Notamacropus eugenii: one gene and its partner. The protein of the gene in region 2 interacts with the protein of the main gene of each other region in a biochemical or structural test. Links are inferred from orthologs where the notes say so. Each region holds a gene or a part of one and is shown on either strand. Other genes may lie near its edges.

Region 1 (10,194 bases), on a different chromosome or scaffold from region 2:
AAAGGTCTGTCCTGAACTTTGCCAATAGCACTCCATCCTGGCCCTCAACAAGATATGGGGGTTCTCCAGAATCCAGAGTCCAATAATCCTCTAAACTTTAATTTTAGACTGAAGAAATCTGAGTATTCATAGCTTACTCTTATAATTGCCGGCTTTTCTCTATCCTCATCTTTCTGGATCTCTCTGCAGCCTTGGACTATGGATCACCCTCTTTTTTCTTTTTTAAATTCAACAAATTTTTTTCTTAAATTTTTTTTTTCCAATTACATGAAAAAGTTTTTAATATTAATTTTTTTTTTAAATTTTGAGTTCCAAACTATCTCCCTTCCTCTCTTCTTCCCCTCTCATTGAGAAGGCAAGTAATTTAATATAGGTTAAACCCATGCAGTTATGTAAAATATATTTCCATAATCATTCTGCGAAAAAAACACATTAAAAAAACTAAGAAAAATAAAGTTTTTAAAAGGTATGCTTCTATTTGCATTCAGACTATATCAGTTCATTTTCTGGAGGTGGATAACAATTTTTATCATGAGTCCTTTAGAGCTGCCTTGAATCCTTGTGTTTCTGAGGATAGCTAAGTCATTCACAGTTGATCATTGCACAATGCTATTGTTACTGTGTACAATGTTCTTCTGGTCCTGCTAACTTCATTTCGCATCAGTTCATGTAAGTCTTTCCAGGTTTTTCTGAAAGCATTCTGCTTATCATCTCTTATATCATAATAATATTCCATTACAATATACCACAACTTGCTCAGCCATTTCCCAGTTGATGGATATCCTGTTAATTTCCAGTTCTTTGTCACCAAAAAAGAGCTGCTATAAATAATTTTTTATAACAGTAGGTCCTTTTCCATTTTTTTGGTCTTTTGGTATACAGACCTAGTAGTAGTGGTGATGCTGGGCCAAAGGGTGTGCAGTTTTATAGCTCTTTGACCTAGTTCCAAATTGTTCTCCAGAATAGTTGGATTAGTTTACAACTCCATCAACAATGCATTGCTGTTCCAATTTTCTCACATCTCCAACATTTATCATTTTCCCTTTTTTGCCATTTTTCTTTTCTGTAATGGTAGTCAATTTGATAGGTGTGAGGTGGGTACCTTTGAGTTACTTTAATTTATATTTCTCTAGTCAATAGTGATTTAGAGCATTTTTTCTTATGTTTATAGATAGCTTTGATTACTTCATTTGAAAATTCACCCTTCATATATTTGCCAAGTGAGTAATGGCTTTTATTTTTTGGCTCAGTTCCCTATCTTTTTGAGTAATGAGGCCTTTATCACAGAAACTTGCAGCAAATTCCCTCCCCACCCCAGTTTCCTGTTTTCCTTCTAATTTTGGCTATATTCAGGGTTTTTTTTATGAGTACAAAACCTTTTTAATTTCATGTAATCAGAATTATCTCTTTTGCTTCCCATGATACTCTCTATTTCTTGTTTGGGCACAAATTTATCCCTTATCCATAGATCTAACTGGTTCATTTTCCCATGCTCTCCTAATTTACATATGATATAACCCTTGACCATCTGAATCATCTATCCATTTTGACCTTATCTTAGTATTCTGGTAAGATGCTGATCTCTGCCTAGTTTTTGCCAAGCTGCTTTCCAGTTTTCCCAGCAATTTTTGCCAAATGTTGAGTTCTTATTCCAAATGCTTGTGTCTTTAGGTTTGTCAGATACTGTAGGTGTTGTTTGTCCTTCATTGTCAAAGAGGACCATGACATGAGGGAGGAGAAGCCATGACATGCAAGTGAACTGGATTGGAGGGAAGTAGGGCTGGCAAAATCACCAGCCTCACTTTCTCCTCCAGAGTCATCTGGGTCCAGTGGCAAGATATAGATCAGGACAACTGAAAAAGGCCCAGGATGCAGTGGGGGACCTTGGCCTTTTCTTTTTTCTTTTTGCTATTATAATGTTATTATACTATTTTAAAGTTTATTTTTAGTTTTCAACATTCTTTTCCACAAATTTTAATTTTTTCCCTCCCCCTTCCCCAAGATGGCATGCAATCTGATATAGGCTCTACATATACTATTATCTACATATACTAATGTCCTATAACATATTTCCACATTAGTCATGTTGTATAGAAGAATTGGAATGAATGGGAGGAACCATGAGAAAGGAAAACAAAAGAAAAATAGTCTGCTTCACTCTGCATTCAGAATCCACAGTTCTTTCTCTGCATGTGGATGGCATTTTCTGTCATTAATCCTTTGGACTTGTTTTAGGAGCTTGCATTGCAGAAAAAAGCTAAGTCTATCAAAATCAGTCATCATGTACTATGGCTGTTACTGTGTACAATGTTCTCCTGGTTCTGCTCACTTCACTCAGCATCCATTCATATAAGTCTTTGCAAGTTTTTCTGAAGTCTGCCTGCTCATCATTTCTTATAGTACAATAGTGGGAGCAGAAAAGGCCTGGGGAAGAGAACAAGGAAACGGAGCTTATCTCTTTATCCCAGTGGCTTAGGAGAAGGTTAGTGGAGTCCAATTAATATGTGGAATCCTGGGTTTCAGCGTCATAAATGTTGAGGTCAGATGTTGGGAGAGTGGTTCGGGTGGGAAAGAATTCACTTAGACCTTCTTTGTAGCCTTTGGGAGTTTTATTACATGAAGCAGCATGGGTCTGATGATAAAATCTCCAAATGGCTACGGAGAAAGTCTAAGTGAATTCTTTCTCACCCAAACTGCTCTCCCAAAATCTGATCTCAACACTGCCCTTTAGATGTGATTTCCATCTCCCTTGAATCTTTACAGCATGTTACCTCTTTAATAGCAGTTATCATCCCATTTTGACATTTATATTTTTCAGTTGTATGATTGGACTACTTTAGAAGTCCATTGATGGAAATTATCAGCATAGTCGATAGAATACTGGTCTGGGATATAGGAAGATGTGAGTTTGAATTGTTTCATTTATTTACTAGCTGTTTAGACACTAGGCAAATCACTTAACTTCTTCCAGTATGTTTTTCTTGAATAACTGACACTCAACCTCAAAGGCTGCTTCTGAGGATCAAATGAGATAATGTATGCAAAGCCCTTTGCAAACCTTAAAGCTCTCAGTAAAGGACTGCTATTACTATTCACCAGAGTATGCACATAAGAGTTGAACTAGCTACTTAAGATGTTAATGAACAATAATTAGCCAACATTTATGGCATACTTTAGAGTTTGCAAGGGGCTTTACATATTATCTCATTTGCTCCTAAACTCTAAGAGGTAGGGATGATATTATTATTATTATTCCCATTTTACAGAAGAGGAAACTGAAGCAGGAAGAAATTAAGGGATTTGCTTAGGGTCACACAGCTCAGTGTCTGAGATGGGGTTCAAACTCAGGCCTTATTATCTTATTGAATCAAATAATATAATATTGCATATCTAAATGACACTTAGAGGTAAAAAAATCAGTTTTTTTCCTGTAATTATTTTTATTTAAAAAAATTTTACTTTGACATTCATTTTTTTAATATTTTGAGTTCCATATTCTCTCCCTCCAGCCCCTCCCCTATCTTTTGAGAAGGCAAGCTATATGATTTCAATTATAGATGTGGTCCCGCAAAACATATTTCCATATTCAAATAAGTTTCAAAAGATCCGAAAAAAGAGGTGGGTTCTCCACAGGAGTGTGAGAGAGTCAGCTCCCACCTGCTTGGGGGAGCCTCTTGTCAAATTTTCAGTATAGGCATTTACACTTCTGAAATTTGCAAAGACTACAAATTAGGGCTTCATTTCTTCTTCTTTTGTTAATTGTCTAGGCTTAAGAAAGTAATAGAAAAACTGTCAATGATACAGATTGAACTTTTAAAGTCTCTCCAGGTACATTCCTGTCCCCTCCCCCTACTTCAGGAAATTTACAGAAGCCATGCATGTATACATACACACATCAGCCTCTACACAAGACTGGTCCAGTGTCACTGCCCAAATACTTAGGCTGGATGGACCACAACTTTTTTTTCTTCCATATTTATTCATTCATTCATTCATTTATTTTTCAACATTCATTTTCACAGATTTTGAGTTCCAAATTTTTTCTCCCCTCTCCCCAAGACAGCATGCAATCGGATATAGGCTATACATGTACAATCATATTAAACATATTTTGACACTAGTCATGTTGTGAAAGAAGAATCAGGACAAAAGGGAAAAACCACAAGAAAGAAAAAAAAGAGAAAATAATATGCTTCAATCTTCATTCAGACTCCACAGTTTTTCTCTGAATGTGGATAGCATTTTCCATCATGAGTCCCTTGGAATTGTCTTGGATTGTTGCATTACTGAGAAGAGCTAAGTATGTCAAAGTTGGTCATCATGCAATGTTGCTGTCACTGTGTGCGATGTTCTCCTGGTTTGGATCACTTCACTCAGCATCAGTTCATGTAAGTCTTTCCAGGATTTTCTGAAATCTGCCTGTGCATCATTTCTTATGGAACAATAGTATTCCCTTACATTCAGATGATGTGGATATAACATCAATGCCCTAAGGGTTAAAAAGAATATTAAGAGTTGCTTTTCCAATACTTTGTGAAGACCCTCCTGAGGCAGGGTTGGAGCTCATTCTGTAACCTATCCTGTAACTTGAGGGCATCCTAAAGTCCCTTTCCCCTCATCCTGTGTCATAAATTTCTTCTTTTGTAAGCAGCTATCTCCTTCATCCTGTGCTATAAATTCTCCCTTATCCTTAATCTTCAACCATCATAAATCCTTAAAACTACATCATCCTGAACATCTATAGACTTTCTGTCTACATATGCCTAGTTCTTCAAAAATAAGTACCCTTTTTTACTTAGCCTCAAGGCCACAGTAAAAAAGGTCCACATCCATGTATAGCTTTCATGTAATAAAGCTCCCATTAGTTAAGAAAAAAATCACCTAAGTGAATTCTTTCACACCTGAACTACTCTCCCAAATCTGACTTCTTGTTCAGCCATTCCCCGACTGATGGACAGCTCTCAATTTCCAATTCTTGGCCACCACAAAAAGAGTTGCTATCGATATTTGTGTATAAATAAGTCCTTTACCCTTTTTTAAAAAACAATCTCTTTAGATCCCGATCTATTGGTGGTATTGCTGGATCAAAGGGTATGCAGTTAGGACCTCCTGGGCACAGTTGGCTGGTTGGGTTTACAACTCTTCCAGCAATCCACTAGTGTTCCATTTCCCCACATCTTCTCCAACATTTATCACTTTCCTTTTCCATCATATCAGCCAATTTTACAAGTGTGAGGTGGTGCCTCAGAGCTGCTTTAATGCGCATTTCTTTAATCAGCAGTGGATTTGGAGCATTTTTTCCTATGACTACGGATAGCTTTCATTTTTTCCTCTGAAAATTGGCTGTTCACGTCCTTTGACAGTTTATCGATTGAGGAACGATCTGTATTCTTATCAATCTGACCCAGTTTTCCAGATACTTTAGAAATGCGGCCCTTTTCAGAGAGCGTGGCTGTAAAAAGCGTTTCCCAGACTTCTGCTTCCCTTCTGATCTTGGCTGCATCGTGTCCGTCTCTTTAGGGGCCCTTGCTGGCTCGTCCATAAGGCTTTTTACGCCTCAGCTGCGTTTACCGGGATCTCTTCCTTTCTCAAGGAGATGCTGGGAAAGGGCGCAGGGAGTCGTTGGGGGAGGGGCACCGCGGCCCACTGCTTCAGTGCGGTAGAGGAGGACACAAAAGGCGCTGCGCGCTAGCTCCGCCAGCCTCCAGCTAGGAAAGGAGGACGTCGAGATCACCTCCCCTCCCCTCCCCTCGAACCCACACCATTTCTGCGCACGCGTGCTCCCTTGCCACCACCCCCGCCTCCCTTGCCTCTGGGCTCCTAGGCCTGGCGAGAGAAGAGGTCCAGCTCCTGGAGGCTATTGGTTGAAATTCGGGCCAATGACGGCGGGCGTTGTTCGTTTGCGCCGGTCTGTGGCGTGAGGAGCGGCGGCGCTTTAGGCCTTGAAAGGTTTCTCCTCGTCTCTGTGGTGGCTGGGCGCCATGAGCTCTATCGGGACCGGGGTGAGTCTTGTGTTCTCCGCGCGGATCAGGGGAACAGGACCGAGGGGGAAGCAGAGGCCGCTCAGAGCGCACCCTCCGCCCCTGCACCACCTCCGGCCCTGCCCGCCGGTTTCTCCTTTGGGAAAGACGCGTCCCCCACCGCGGGACCCCCGCCCCCCGCCCCAGAAGCCTCCGAAAACGTGTCCTAGAGTCCCGGATCCTAGGAAACCGCGCCCCAGGAGCGTGATGTTCCTGACCCCGGCGGCCCAGCGTGCGCCGAGGGCCCGGGGCCTCCCTAGCTTTGCCGAGTCATTTTCTTTAGCCGGCTGAGGAAACCGAAAGTAGTGAAGGCCCAGCGCGCGGGCCGGATTGGCGGGAGGGGAGAAGGAAGGGTTGAGGGGGCCAGGAGACGCCTTATCTCTTCCCAAGCCTGGAGGCTGGTGGGATCCCGGGCCCCTGAGACTCGAGTGACCCGAGGCCCCTGGCTGAAGGGACCCGAGGCCTCGGCGCGCTGCTGAGTCACGGGGCTCCTTTCGTGGAATTCTGCATTTCCGCCCTAATCCTTCCCCAAAATAAAGAAACAGAAACCCAGGCTCCGAAGAAGGCCCCAAAGAGTCCTGCCCTTGTGCCGGAACTCTGAAAGATGATCGTTAGGAACAGAGAAATCTGGCTGAGAGCTGTTCTTTTGGTGGTGGTTGTTACACTAGGCTTTTTTTTTTCAAGCTTGCGCTCTCCTCCCCTCCCCCGTAGTCCTCTTTACGAGATAGAGTGTGGAGACAGACTGTGCAAGACAACGGGTGTTTTATGCTTTGTAAAGCCTGGTTCTAAATTCAAGTTACTTCACTTGGCAGTTAGGCTTTAATACGGTAAAAAAAAAAAAAAGTCAGCGTCCGGTAGCTAGTTTTTCTCCTGGGAATTATTTAACTTTCCTACCTTCCGTCTCAGCTAAATTCTGTGCCTCTGCTAACTTCCTGTGATGTATATGCATTTGTTAAAAGTGAGATCCCTAACCCTAATGTTTATCTATCGCTCCCTAGCAGATACACACTCTCTCTCTCTCTCTCTCTCTCTCTCTCTCTCTCTCTCTCTCTCTCTCTCTCAAGTTACCAGGAGGAAAAATAGTTGAGTTTTTTTCATGGAAACTTCTAAGACAATGCATAATCCATAAGTACCACTTTTAAATTTTACAAAGTGTTCCCTGACACCATCCCTGTATGGTTAATATTGATTGCAAGCATCATTCTGACTTTCAGAGATGCAAGTGCTACCCAAGGTCATTACAATCCAGGTCTTTCTTGATTTCACCGGCCACGTTCTTTATGCTTTGCCACACTGCCTTTCTTACCCCTTGTCTTTTCATTTCATTGTCACCACTCCACTTCATGTTCTCTTTCTCTCTTGCTCAGAATGTTACAAAAGCATGCTATTTCCTCTAGTCCCAAACACATGCTGCTGATTGATTGATCTCGTTTAAAAATTACTGCCCTGTTCACTGCCTGTGATGCCCAAAATTACTGGCCTTCAGATGGGTAGGCCAAGAATATTTATTAAGTGAATTCAATATATAAGTTAATGAAATACAATTTTGGAGATACAAAGATAGAAGTGAAACAGGCTCTCATCTCCAGGAGCTTACATTCTATCAGGTATAAACATTTATGAAGATAAGTAATATGGTCTACACAAGGCATTTAAAAGCTACTGGGAATTCCAAAAGGTGGAGAATAGGAGGAATAGCATTCTAGGAATGGGGGGGACTACTTGTGCCAAAGGCATGGTGATAGAATGTTATATATAGGAAACAGCAAGAGACTAGTTTGTTTAGAATTTAAATTGATATATGAGGGAAAGTGTTATGAAATCAGTCTGGAATGACAGGTTAGAGAACTTGGTTATGGAGGGCTTTAAATGCCAGAGAAGAATTTGTATTTGATCTTAGAAAATATAGGAGCCACTGGCTCTTGAGCAAAGGGAATGATGTGATCGTACCTATGCTTTAGGGATATTACTCTGTCAGTTGTGCAGAGGATAGATTGTAGAAGTGGAAGACTGAAGGCAGGGGGAGACCGAATAGGAGAATATTGCAGGAGATCAGGTAAGAGGTTACGGATGAGGGCCTAAACAAGGGTAATTGTCACAGTCTTAGATTTAGGGCTGGAAGGTACCTTAGAGACCAGCTGGTCCAACCCCTTTCATTCACAGATATGGAAATTGAGGTTCAGAGAAAAGTCATTCAGAAAATGATCGTAGCTAGCATTCATATATTGCTTTAACGTTTGCAAATTACTTTACATGTGTCATTTCATTTGGTCAACAAAACAATGCTGTGAGGTAGGTGCTAGTATTTATTTTACAGATAAAGAAATTGAGACAGATTACAGGACTTGCTCAGGGTCACACAGTGTCAGAGGCTGGATTTGAACTCAAACCTTACAAATCTAATGTGCTTTCCCACTGTACCACATGAATGAAGAGATGGGCATGGATATGAGAGAGATGGAATTAAAATGGACAGAGCTTGGTAATTGATTAAATGTTGGGGGATAAGACAACAATAATTGGAGTCTTATCCTATACCTTTTCACCCTCAACCACTCACCCTATACCAGTCAACTGTTACATTTCCCTTGTCCAGGAATCTTGCACTTCATGCCCTTGTAATCCTTGTGATTTAATCATTTAAAACTCTTACCTTAAGTACAGATTTAGGCACTAATCTCTACCTTTGCCATCTTTCCATTATACCCTTTAAAATCCCCAATAGTAATAATAAGGACCCCTTAATCCTAGATCTTTTATTTCTGGTCCTTACAGAAACATATCTTTCTCCTGAAGATGCCTCATTAGCCCCTTGCAACACTCTCTGATGCTGGTTGTTTCTTTTTTCATGCCACTTGATGTGGCAGGAGGAAAAGTTAGTGTAGTCCTTATTCTCCACTATTACTTGTAGATCCCCCTTTGTGCCACCATCACTTGTAACTCATCTTCATTTTGAAATTCACTCCATATGTATCATACATTAGAGTAGACCATATCATCTAAAACTGTTGATCTTAAGTTCTATAATTCCCTTCTTTAGTCATAATCTAATGTCCTTCATATCACCATCTGTGGAGGGAGAGCCAATGTGAAGGAGTAGCAGGAAGCAGTAAAGCAAATGTCCCTCCACCCCTTCCCCCACAAAAAAAACCTCCTCTAAACAGATCTAGAAAATGAGCCAGACCAAGTTCTGATAGGGAAATAAAGAAAAGTCACAGTGAGTCATTTTTTTCAGTTTAGATTGGCACAGAGACACAGAGATTTGTGAACATTGGGATTGGGTTGGGCCAAATATGCAGCAAATGGAACATTCCAGTGCCTAGGGAAAGGCTGTCCACCAAGGTAAGCAGAGGTCCTAGACCCATACTGGGATACCCAACTGGGACAGCTACCAACTAGCATCTTGTTGCTCTCTGCGCAGTTTCAGGTCACAGATCTAGGACAAACAGGAAAAGATACATTGGCACAAGAAAGGCACCTCTTTGCCTGTCTTCCTGACTCCAGGTGCTACCAGCTGCCTCTAATGACAATTACAGCCAACATCTAGAATTTCCAGTCAAAGAAAAAATACTATAATCAATCTGCCTCAGTCCTCCTAAATTACTTTGCCTTCACCACCACTTCCAGTGCTTTCATCCCTCTTTGTCTCCACTCACTGGCCTCACTTTTTTTCTCTCATAGTCTTGACCCTATAGTTAATCAGTTTAGCAAAGCACTGTCTTCCACTCTTTCCCTCTTTGTTTACTTTCTCTTGTTTGTATTCTACCAGTACTCAGCTTTGGATAATTCTCTTGTAAGCTTTTTGCTTCTACTCTTGAACCGTCAGGTAGTATTAGGAGTTCCATAACCCCATTCACCAAATCCATTATAAATTCATGTTGTTGTTGAGTCATTTCAGTCCTGGCCGACATCGGTCTTTGTGACCCAGTTTGAGGTTTTCTTGGCAAAGGTACCGAGAGACTATTCTGGAATTAGGGTGTGGGTCACTGCTATTCTCTCATTGCTACACTATCGTAATACTTGTATTCTTCCCTAACTGACTTCCTATCGTGTTCTGTAGCAGTTTTTCTCAAACATTTCAAGTACCCACTGCCCCCCCTTTCCTTCAGCAGATAACCTAATTTCTAACTTTACTGAAGAAAATCAAGGTCATTTGTCAAATTTTATTCATCTT
Region 2 (9,581 bases):
AGAGCTATGGTTTCACTCAGGAAAGATGCCTCCTCCCTGTCTTACTTAGATTACGGCCATCCTTGGGAATGGCTGTGGAGAAATCAATCTATCTTCTGGTGTCAGATTTCTATTAATGAACCTCTCTGGCTGGACTGGTCCTCTCATAGAATACAAGTCCCTTGAGGGTAACCAGAGTTTCATTTTTGTCTGTCTATCTCCATTGTCTTATATAGTGGCTGAAACAGTTTAATCAATGATTCCTGATGGATCAACTACTTGGGTATTGCTCCATAGCTTGATAGGGGCTCTTAGGGCTTGTAGCTGATCAGTGGAGCTTTTGGGCACCCAGGGTCACCTCTGGGCCATGACAGGATATCAGAGGAGGATTTTGGTGGAGTCAAGTCAACATGCACTTTTTCATATTAAGGACATAAATGTTATTAATATTAACATAAAATATTAATTAATGATCATTTTAGCAGCTGACATGAAATGAACAATTTGAAAAAAAGGCAGAGGGATATTTTCCACATTTCTCTGTAGCATCTTCAGATTGCAAATACAAACACTGAGCATGCACCTCCTACATATTTTTTCACAAAACTCTGTGAAGTAGGATGCACAAGTTTATTTTCTCCATTTTCAAGTGAACAAGCTTAAATAATGGAGTGTCTGCTACGTGTAAAGCAATGCAGGGAATGGAAATAAATGTTTTCCCATCAAGGAACTGAGAGATGAGGAAATCAGAGTCAGAGATTAGCCAGGATTACACAAGACTCAATCCTGGTGCTGGAGTTAAACTCAGGTCTCTCTTGGCTCCAGCGTGCAAGGGCTCCATTTGCTATATGAAGCTCCCTTAAGAAAGTTGGCATATTTTGACTGGGGTCAGTGAAAATGCTGGTCTGGTGTGATTAATAATGATAATTATCATAGTTGATGAGAGATAACATTTATACAGAAAGGTTTACAAAGTACTAGGGCAGCTAGTTGGAACAGTGGGCCTAGAGTCTGAAAGACACGAATTTAAATCTGGCTTCAAACACCCTGGGCAAGTTTTTGACCTCTCTCTGCCTCAATTTTGCAATGGACAGAATGCCTAGCCAAGACTCAGAAAGACTTATTTCCCTGAGTTCAAAACCAGCTGTGTGACCCTGGGGAAGTCACTTGATTCTGTTTGCCTCAGTTTCTTCATCTGTCAAATGAGGTGGAGAAGGATATGGCAAACCACTCCACTATCTTTTCAAACAAAACCCCAAGTGGGGGGTCATGAAGAGTCAACACAATTGAAATGACTGACGAAATAGTGTATGTTTTACTTGCCTGATCCTCACAACTACCCAAGCACATGATGGTCCCATTATTTTTTTTGGATTTGGATTTTTTTGGATTTGTCCAGGGGCAGGGGCAGGGGCAGGATTTGAACTCTGGTCTTCCTACTTCTAAATCCAGCGCTCTATCCATAGCACCACCTACCTGCACAAATGAACACCAACATAACTATATCGGAACCAAATTCAGGCAGATTTATAATTGTCAAAATCGGAGTGAACATTCAGTAATTGTCTTCATCAAGCAGACCTCCTTAAAGCTGAATTCTCAAGCAATGCTAGTAATGAGATCATTTACCCCTAGAAAAGAGTTTTCCAGTGCTAATGGTAACAGTTTGGGGACTGAACTTTATAGAACTCCAGGAATTGTTTCCCAGATCAGACAAGGGTATCTTTTCGGAAGAGATACCATAATCCAAGAGCTCATATTGAAATGAAGCAGGTGGGTAAACACAAAAATTGACATTTCAACAACACCAAGAATGTCCTCTTTCCACCTACCCCCATGAAGCCTTAATCGATCCTTTGCTAATTTTATAATCCTATGGCCCTATGATCCACTCAAGATGAATGAGCAGAATATTTTCAAAGATTCTGAAATACCACAGTTCCAGAATCATCCACAAAGTCCCCCACCCTGTGTTCACTGTCATTTGTACACCCCACCTTTCTAATGGAGATAAAGAGAGTTGGAAGACCATTTACACCCATTAAATGGCCCAGCAGGGCTGGTTTCTTATTATTTTATGCCCTGCCTCTTCAACAATTCCACCATGGGACCAAGTCCTGCTAAGGTTTGTCTTTTGAAGTTGTCATCTTGAACATACAGTGGTCTAGATGGCATGTGTCTCACCACAAGAGCCAGGTAAAATGGGAGGATCCTTTTTCTCTCTTCAGACAAAACATATGAATCACAGCTCTGCAACCCTCCAGATACATGAGAGCCCCTACTATTTTTTAATCCCTAAGGAAAAATACAGGCAAAATCAAGTCTTTTTTTTTTTTTTAATTTTGGCCAGCTGTGAGCTGTAGTTGCCATGGAGCTTTGCCATAAGGTGCCTACCTCTAGGAAAGTTCATTTACCCCTTGGGAGTATGTTTCCTACTTGGAGTGACCCCAATCCTAAACTTGTCTCATTGTTTACTGGGGCCTGGGTTGCTAGAGGTTCAGTTGTGTTGTAACAGGGGGCTGGCTGGCCTTTACCCTTGAAGGGATTCTGGGAGAGATGAATCCTAGGAGAAGGCCACCATCTCCAGAGTCTTCTTGCCCAGTTGTACCTCCCCATCCCCTCAGCCCAACCCTAGGGACAATAACAAGGCCTCGCCTCTCCTTATATAACTGTACCAGAGGTACAGTGGAGGTCCAACTGTCCTCGGCACCTCCACTGCTGTGGCCCTCCAGCAGCCCCCACTCCCCACCTCTATTCAGTTGCTTTGCAAATATTCCTGGTTACAGCTCTAGGAGGGAATTATGATAATAACAATAGCTAAGACAATATCAAGAACAGTAACAATAACAAAAACTTACATGTATTTAAGGCTCTAAGCTTTACCACTTTCCTTCATAACCCTGTGAGGTGATAATGCAACTATCCCTATTTTACAGACAAGTACATTAAGGCTCAGAAAAGTGGCAATTTTGCTCAAGGCCACCAGGACTGGAAGAGAAGAGAAAGGGAGAAAGCCTGGATTTGAATCATGCTCTTTGGATTCCTAGGGCACTGTAGAGTTTCTTCCATATGCCCCCCTTTAGCTGCCATGTTGACCAGTTCAGCCCCTGTGACTTCCTCCTGCCCAAGGGAAGAGCCTAAGTTCTGTGAGCAGTTTGCACCCCTGAGACCAGCAGAGCTGCTTGGGCCTAGTGACCCCACAGGTCAGATTCCTTGGCCACTTGGAGGAGATGAGGGTGGGGAAGGGGGCTGTGATCCTTACCAGTAAGGCCAGCTTCTTTCTGCTCCAGAGTCTGTAATAAGGACAGGAGAAATGAAGAAGGCCTTCTCTTCAGCTGGGGTCAGCAAACCCAGCGTCCAGTGCCTTTTTCTGAGAGCAAAGGAAAGAGGAAAGGACAAGTCTGGGCAGAACTCTGTAGTCACTGAACCAACTTTATCTTTCGTCATTGCTATGGCAAAGCCTGGATTCTAGTTTGGTTTTTTGAGTTTCTGTCCAGATGCCCTCCTCAGTCCTCAGCTGTTTCCTGGGCAGGAGCTTCAGGTATCTGAGGTGAGGAAAGAAAGGTAGGATTCATCGTGGAGTGGGGGAAGGGAGAGGGGAAGACTGGCTATTTTCTATTTGTCCCAGCAGTCCAAGAAAGCAGCAATTTAGAACAGGGAAAAATTGCCTGGTTGATGTTTTCAAAATGTTTCTCCCACTTAACGTGAACATATCGATACCATCTTCCTCTCCCTCCCCTTCCCACCTGCCAAACAAAGGGCCACAAAATAACAGACATTATCACATCACCTCCCTTCCAGAGATGACACATTGAGACAGAGATAGCAAAGTAGAACCCTGGGGGAGGGGCCAGGAGAGTGAATGCTATACATCCAGATTCTAGCCTTTCAATCCACTTTGAGTGACCTGGGAAAAGTCTCATCCACTACAGGCCTCAATTTCAGGAATGGAGGGCTCAGGTGAATCAGCCCCCCTCCTGAGCCAGTCTCCCAATATTGTACTTTGTTTCAGGGCAGCTCAGGACTTAGCTAGACAGAGGAAGGGTTGTTTACTTACATAGATGTGATCCTCCTCTTCATAGACCCACCAACTTTCTATCAGTAATTTTGTTACAGAACAATTTGGGGTAACCTCAGCTAGGGGTAGAATACGGTGGAATTGCTGGATGAGGATATGGAAATGGAATTTGGTTTCCCTCCCATGTGGTTTATTCTGGATTGGTTAATATAAAGGGTGTAGAGAGAAGACCCTCGAATTAGGGGTCAAAGGACAGAGGGTGGCAGAAAGACCCCTGCTTTTGAAGACAGATGACCCGGGTTCAATCCCAGCACTTCCATTAGCTATCCTTGGTCTCTCTTCCTAACCTCGTCATCCAGAGAAAGAGGGTGTTGGCCTGGATGGTCCCACTCTTCGATGCTATGCCATTGCCAATCAGTACGTTAGATCTGAAACCTGAGGCAGGTAGTTCCTCAGTCAGAGCTGCTCTGAAGCGCTTCTGTGCCATTCTAGTTCATGTTTTCCCATAAATATTTTCGAGACATCTACCCCAAAGTCTGATAAATCTGCCTCTGGGGCACTGGGGCACTCTCAGTCCATCACCTGCCTAAGTCCTTTTCTAGTCACACATTTCTATGAGGATATCATGGCGATCCTTGTCCCGGGTTCTTTGGGACCCCCAGGAGAAGGACACAGGAGACCTTCACGAAGAGCCAGAAAAGACACAGAAAATGAAAGTGCATTAATTAGCTTAAGATGTTAGGCAACTGTAAGAGGTAATCACTGCCATTAATTTTCTTCCATCGCTTTCGCGGTAAATTTCTACCCAGAGGAGTTGTGAAGCTAGCCATAGAGGGCTTAAGAAACTCATCGCCTTTCTTTCAGGACCCTTACGTCCTTCCCAGTGGGAACGTTGATTTCATAGCTTAAGTTTTCTGGAAAATGCGACCCGGGGGACAAATCTAGAACTACAAAAGTGTGTATATGTACGTATGACTGTGTCTGTGTGTCTGTGTGTCTGTGTCCGTGCATTCGTGCGCGCGCTACCGCGCGCGCGCGGGAGTCTCGGCCGGGGAAAGGAGAGTTTCTGGCTGCCAGGGCCCGGCTTCGCCCCTGCCCCCAGCCCTCAGGCTAGGCTGCGGAGCCGGGCGGCCGCAGTCCCCAGCCCCGTTGTCACTCACTCACTCGCGGAGCCTGGCGCCGCGCCCTGCGCGGCCGAGCCCGGAGGGCGGAGTTTGGGTGGACTGCTCAGCGGAGGCGGAGACTGTGCGGCTATAATAGGCTCCGAAGCCGGGCAGCCCAGCCAGAAGAGGAGGTGTGAGCGACGCCACCGAACCGGGTTCGAGAGCTGGGGCAAGGGCAGGGACGCAGAGTAGGCAACGCTTGATCGGGACATCCTGAGGGAGACCGAGAAGGTGAGAGGGGATTTGGAGCTGAAGATTTAAGGACTGGAAGGAGGCAGGATTTGAGCGTTGGAGAGGCCCTTAATTCTACTGGTACTTGTGTGTGTGTGTGTGTGTGTGTGTGTGTGTGTCTAAGTGTGTAAGGAGGGGGTCCTGCATTCCTCCCGGCTGGGGGGCTGTCCAAGGCTCTTCCCGGGGAAGGTGGGCCCGAGTCTCCGACTTGGGGTGGGGAGAAGGGGCCTCTTGTTGGAGCGCCCCCTCCCCACCGATTTCTCTTCTCTGGTCGCTACTGAATGGCCCCGGCCCGGTCCAGCCCAGGTCTCCGCGTAACCCTTTCTTTCTTAGCCTTCTTGGGACCCAAGGAGGAGGCTAGAGAGAAGGTACAGGGTGGGGGGGACTGGGATATCCCTAGAGCTCGTCCGTGTTAGGAAGGGGGTCGTAGCCCCGATTCGGGGACCCCGCCCGTTTCTTGCTTTCTCACTAGCATAGCTGGGGTGAGTGAGAAGGGCGAGGATCACCCCCCACCCTCGATGCAAACCGGGCCCGGGCTGGGGGTGGGAGCCGAGTTTCGGACTCCTCTGCTCCGGAGTGGGTGATGCCCGGCAGGTTAAAAGCTTAGGCCCGCCCCGGGGCGGAGATCCCCAGGCTGATCGATCGTGGTAGGTTCCGAATAGGATGTCTCGGGGTCCGGCGGCCGGTTCCTTGGTGGATCCCGGAGGAGTGGAGGATCCCAGCCGGCTACGGCGATGTCGCAGTTTCAGCGACAGGCACCACCCCTCTCCTCTTTGCTTTGGCACGGGAGACAGGGACCGAGGCCACCTCCCCTGTACCCCTCCCCGCCGGCCCGGCCCGGAATCCTTGTCCCCCGAGCCCCACCCCCAGGCTAGCCCCTTCTCCCGGCCCGCCTGGCCAACTCAGCTCCGGGTCTGGAGGGTGGTGTCGCCGGCCCCCTGGGACGTGCGGGGACTTGTCCCTTAAGGGAGGGGGAGCAGGAGGTGACTCACGGGTGACACGGAGACCCCGGGGAGTGGGGCGGGGTGAGGTCAGAGCCCCACCCCGGGGGGGAGGAGAGCTGAGTGGGGGGAGTGTGTGGAGAGTGCCATGGCTTCTGTGAGCCTCAGTCTCCGGAGCTACCCCCTAACAAAGGGAGGTGTGTGTGGGTATGGGGGGGGCGGAAGGGGCTGGCCCCCGAGAGGAGTTGAGGGGACAGCGGCCAGAGACCTCCCCTAGGTTTCGGCTTTTTGTATGTTTGCTCCTGGTCCAGGGAGGAGAAACCTAAGCTCCTGGAAAGCCGGGGCACCTGGGTGCCTGCAGTCTTTGTGCCTCGGTTATCCTTCTGGAAAATGGGCACAGTCATCCTCCCTTATTTTTCCGAGGCATTCTCGAGGTGGCGGTCTCTTTCGGAGATGGACGACTTCTTTCTCCTTGACATCCCCTTCTAGTATCTGGTCCCCTGCCGGCTTCTTGTCTCTGCCGCTGTGCGGGAGCCGGACCTTGCCCCTCCCAGACCCAGGGGGGCGGGGACCGAGGGAGGAGTGGGGAGTCTGGGGAGCCTCGCTACCCTTTTGCTAGTGAGACTTGGGGATGTTCCATGCTGGGCCCACTCTCCCCAGCCCCTAGGGCTGCCGGTGACCCAGTGACCAGAGCGGGGGGGTGGTAATGGAGGCAGCGAAGGCACCTTTCCTAGTTGGGTATTTCCGGTGTGTGTATGCAAACGACGAAGGCGTGTGTGTTTGTGTACTAGGGCTCCTGGCTTCAGATCCTGGCCAGCCTGGAGAACGTGCGCACGCACACACACACACACACACACACACACACACACACACACACACACACGGAGGTCACGTGTGTGCCCGCCCAGCAAATACTTGCAGAATTGCTTTGCTGTGCACTGCACTGAATTGGATACTTTTAAGTGGGCGGCGATGCCCAGATCCTCCGCAGGCCCCCTCCTCCTCCCCCTCCGCTCCAGGCACGTCGCGAAGAGTAGCGGGGTGTTGTTAGTCCTGGGGGTTTGGCTTCCCGCGGCTATTTTTCTTGCCCAGTTAGCCAGTTGTCTCCTGGGGTGGCTCGGGTGCGGAGCTGGGGCCGGGGCACAGATGTGCTCCCGTGTCTCCCGGCCGTGTCCGTCTTTGTCTGTCCGTGCCTCTGCCTCGCTCTGCCTTTGTTTGTCTGTGTCTGTGCGGAGTGAGAGAGGCTTATTTCCCAACAGTGTCATGTGCAGTTTCGGAAGCCCGGCTGGCTCAGCGTGACGTGTTCACATCCCTCTCCCACCCCTCCACCCTCCTCTCCCCCTGCCCCTCCCCAGGAGCCTGTGACGTGCCTCCCTCCAAGTTTTGGCGGGCTGGCAGTTCAGGAAACTGACTCACTACAACTTCTCCCTTCTGGACTGTCCCGCTGCCCTAGGCACCAGAGCAGGCTGCAGAAGTGGGGGGTGGAAGGGTGAGGGGGGGGATTTCCTAGAGGCAGGCGCCCCCTCCTGGACCAGGGGCTGCATAGTCTAGCCACCCTACCCCAGCATTTCTCAAAAGAAATTTCCCAAATGACTCTTGCCTAGGGGCCTTTGTTTCCTGTGTCTCACTCCCAGAGAACCTTCTGTCCTGAGCTCAGCAGGCATGTACACCCAGCCAGCATTTCATCACGCACTCTACTCCGGTCTTTTCTCCTGATTTGCTCCACTTTGCAAAAATAACCCTTTCCTTACCAGGCTGATGCCTGGAATTTGTAGACTCTAGAGCTGATCAGTAGAACAACATTTATTAAACACCTATCAGTCAGATTTTAGTAAGAGTTTAGTAAGTGCCTACCACATCCCAGGCACTAAGTTGTAGGCACTGGAGATACCCTGCCCTCAAGGAGCTAGAACAATCCCTTCATTTTATTAGAGTGGGATATGTCGCTGCTGTTTAGCCATAGCAGACTCTCCCTGACCCCATGTGGGGTTTTCTTAGTAAACATCCTGGAGTGTTTGCCATCTCCCTTTCCAGCTCATCTTACAGACAAGGAAACTGAGGCAAACGGGGTTAAGTGACTTGCTCAGGGTCATCCAGCTAGTAAATGTCTGAGCTCACATCTGAACTCAGATCTTCTTGACTCTAGGCCCAGCACTATGTCCATTGTACCACCTACCTGCCGGCAGAGTAGTACCGAGCACTGAGACCTTAAAAGGGAAGTAAGTTGTTCAAGGTCACGTAACTAATAAATGTCTGAACTGGGATTCAGACTCAAAGGCACAAGTTGGGATGGGGCATTGTTGCTCTGTAACTTCTCCCTGGTGTAAAACATTTGTTCAGCAATGACATTGTGTCAACTTCTCTGATGTTGCCACTTAACAAAGTCCTAGTTGTAGCCACCTGACAAGCCATCCTTGGATTATAGGGACACTGAAAATAAACCCTCTGCTCCTTTTCCCCAATCTTACTCCATTCTAATCCTGTCCTGGGCAGGGAAGGATGGGAGGGAGGGTGAGAAGGAATGGGGAAGGTCAGCACAGGATATATTTCCCATCTTGAGAGATGGGAATGGAATATGCTGGAGAGTGAAGCTCTGTTTACTGAGAGAGTGGAGTGAGTGGAGGAGCCCTATTCTGGTTTTGTCATCTTTGTAACCCTGAGGCAAAATGTTTTCTTTCCCTGATCTTCTGTCTCTCCATCTTTAATGGGAAGGAGTTGGACTGGAAAAATTCTAAGATCTCTTCCATTTCTTCCATGGTATGATTCCATGAATATAGCAGTAGGTGGGACATAGGCTTGGCACAGAGTCTGGCACACAGTAGGCACTTAATGAATGTTTGTTGATTGGATGACTGACTCAAGCTCCCCCTTTCCCTGGGGAGGGGGGTTAACTCAGTGGGTATTTGTCCCTTGGGTAGACACAAGCCTGGACTTGCTGTCCTAAAAACAGACTTCCTGCCCAGTCTTGCCAATAACCCCCAGAAGCCTGGCTGATGTCAGGATATGAAGTAGGGCAGGGGCAAGTGCCAAGGTCACCATAAATAGGTAAGCTTATTTTTTCTGGTCTCCTTTGACACCAGATATAGGAGGAGCCTTGAAAACTGTGGAGGTAGGGGGCCCCAGAAAGCCTTATCAGATGTGTTTTGTGTTGGTTTGGTGCTTGGAAATGTAGCCTCTTGGGGTCAAGCAGTTAAAAACCAATGAGCTCAGTGTCTAGCCCATTGAAATCACCTGATATGTCTGTTCAGG

The links. The genes of interacting proteins can lie anywhere in the genome.
Region 1: the proteins of CDKN1A (region 2) and PSMA3 form a complex in vitro, tested with the Homo sapiens proteins (4 studies listed by BioGRID). The link is inferred for Notamacropus eugenii from reciprocal best matches to the Homo sapiens genes CDKN1A and PSMA3.

Annotation. Positions count from the first base shown.
Region 1 is NC_092872.1:301,067,388-301,077,581, forward strand, and holds the start of PSMA3 (proteasome subunit alpha type-3), read left to right. Parts: upstream 1-5,743; 5' UTR 5,744-5,981; coding exon 5,982-6,002; intron 6,003-10,194. UniProt on the Homo sapiens protein: Component of the 20S core proteasome complex involved in the proteolytic degradation of most intracellular proteins. This complex plays numerous essential roles within the cell by associating with different regulatory particles.
Region 2 is NC_092873.1:94,101,049-94,110,629, forward strand, and holds the start of CDKN1A (cyclin-dependent kinase inhibitor 1), read left to right. Parts: upstream 1-5,053; 5' UTR 5,054-5,391; intron 5,392-9,581. UniProt on the Homo sapiens protein: Plays an important role in controlling cell cycle progression and DNA damage-induced G2 arrest. Involved in p53/TP53 mediated inhibition of cellular proliferation in response to DNA damage.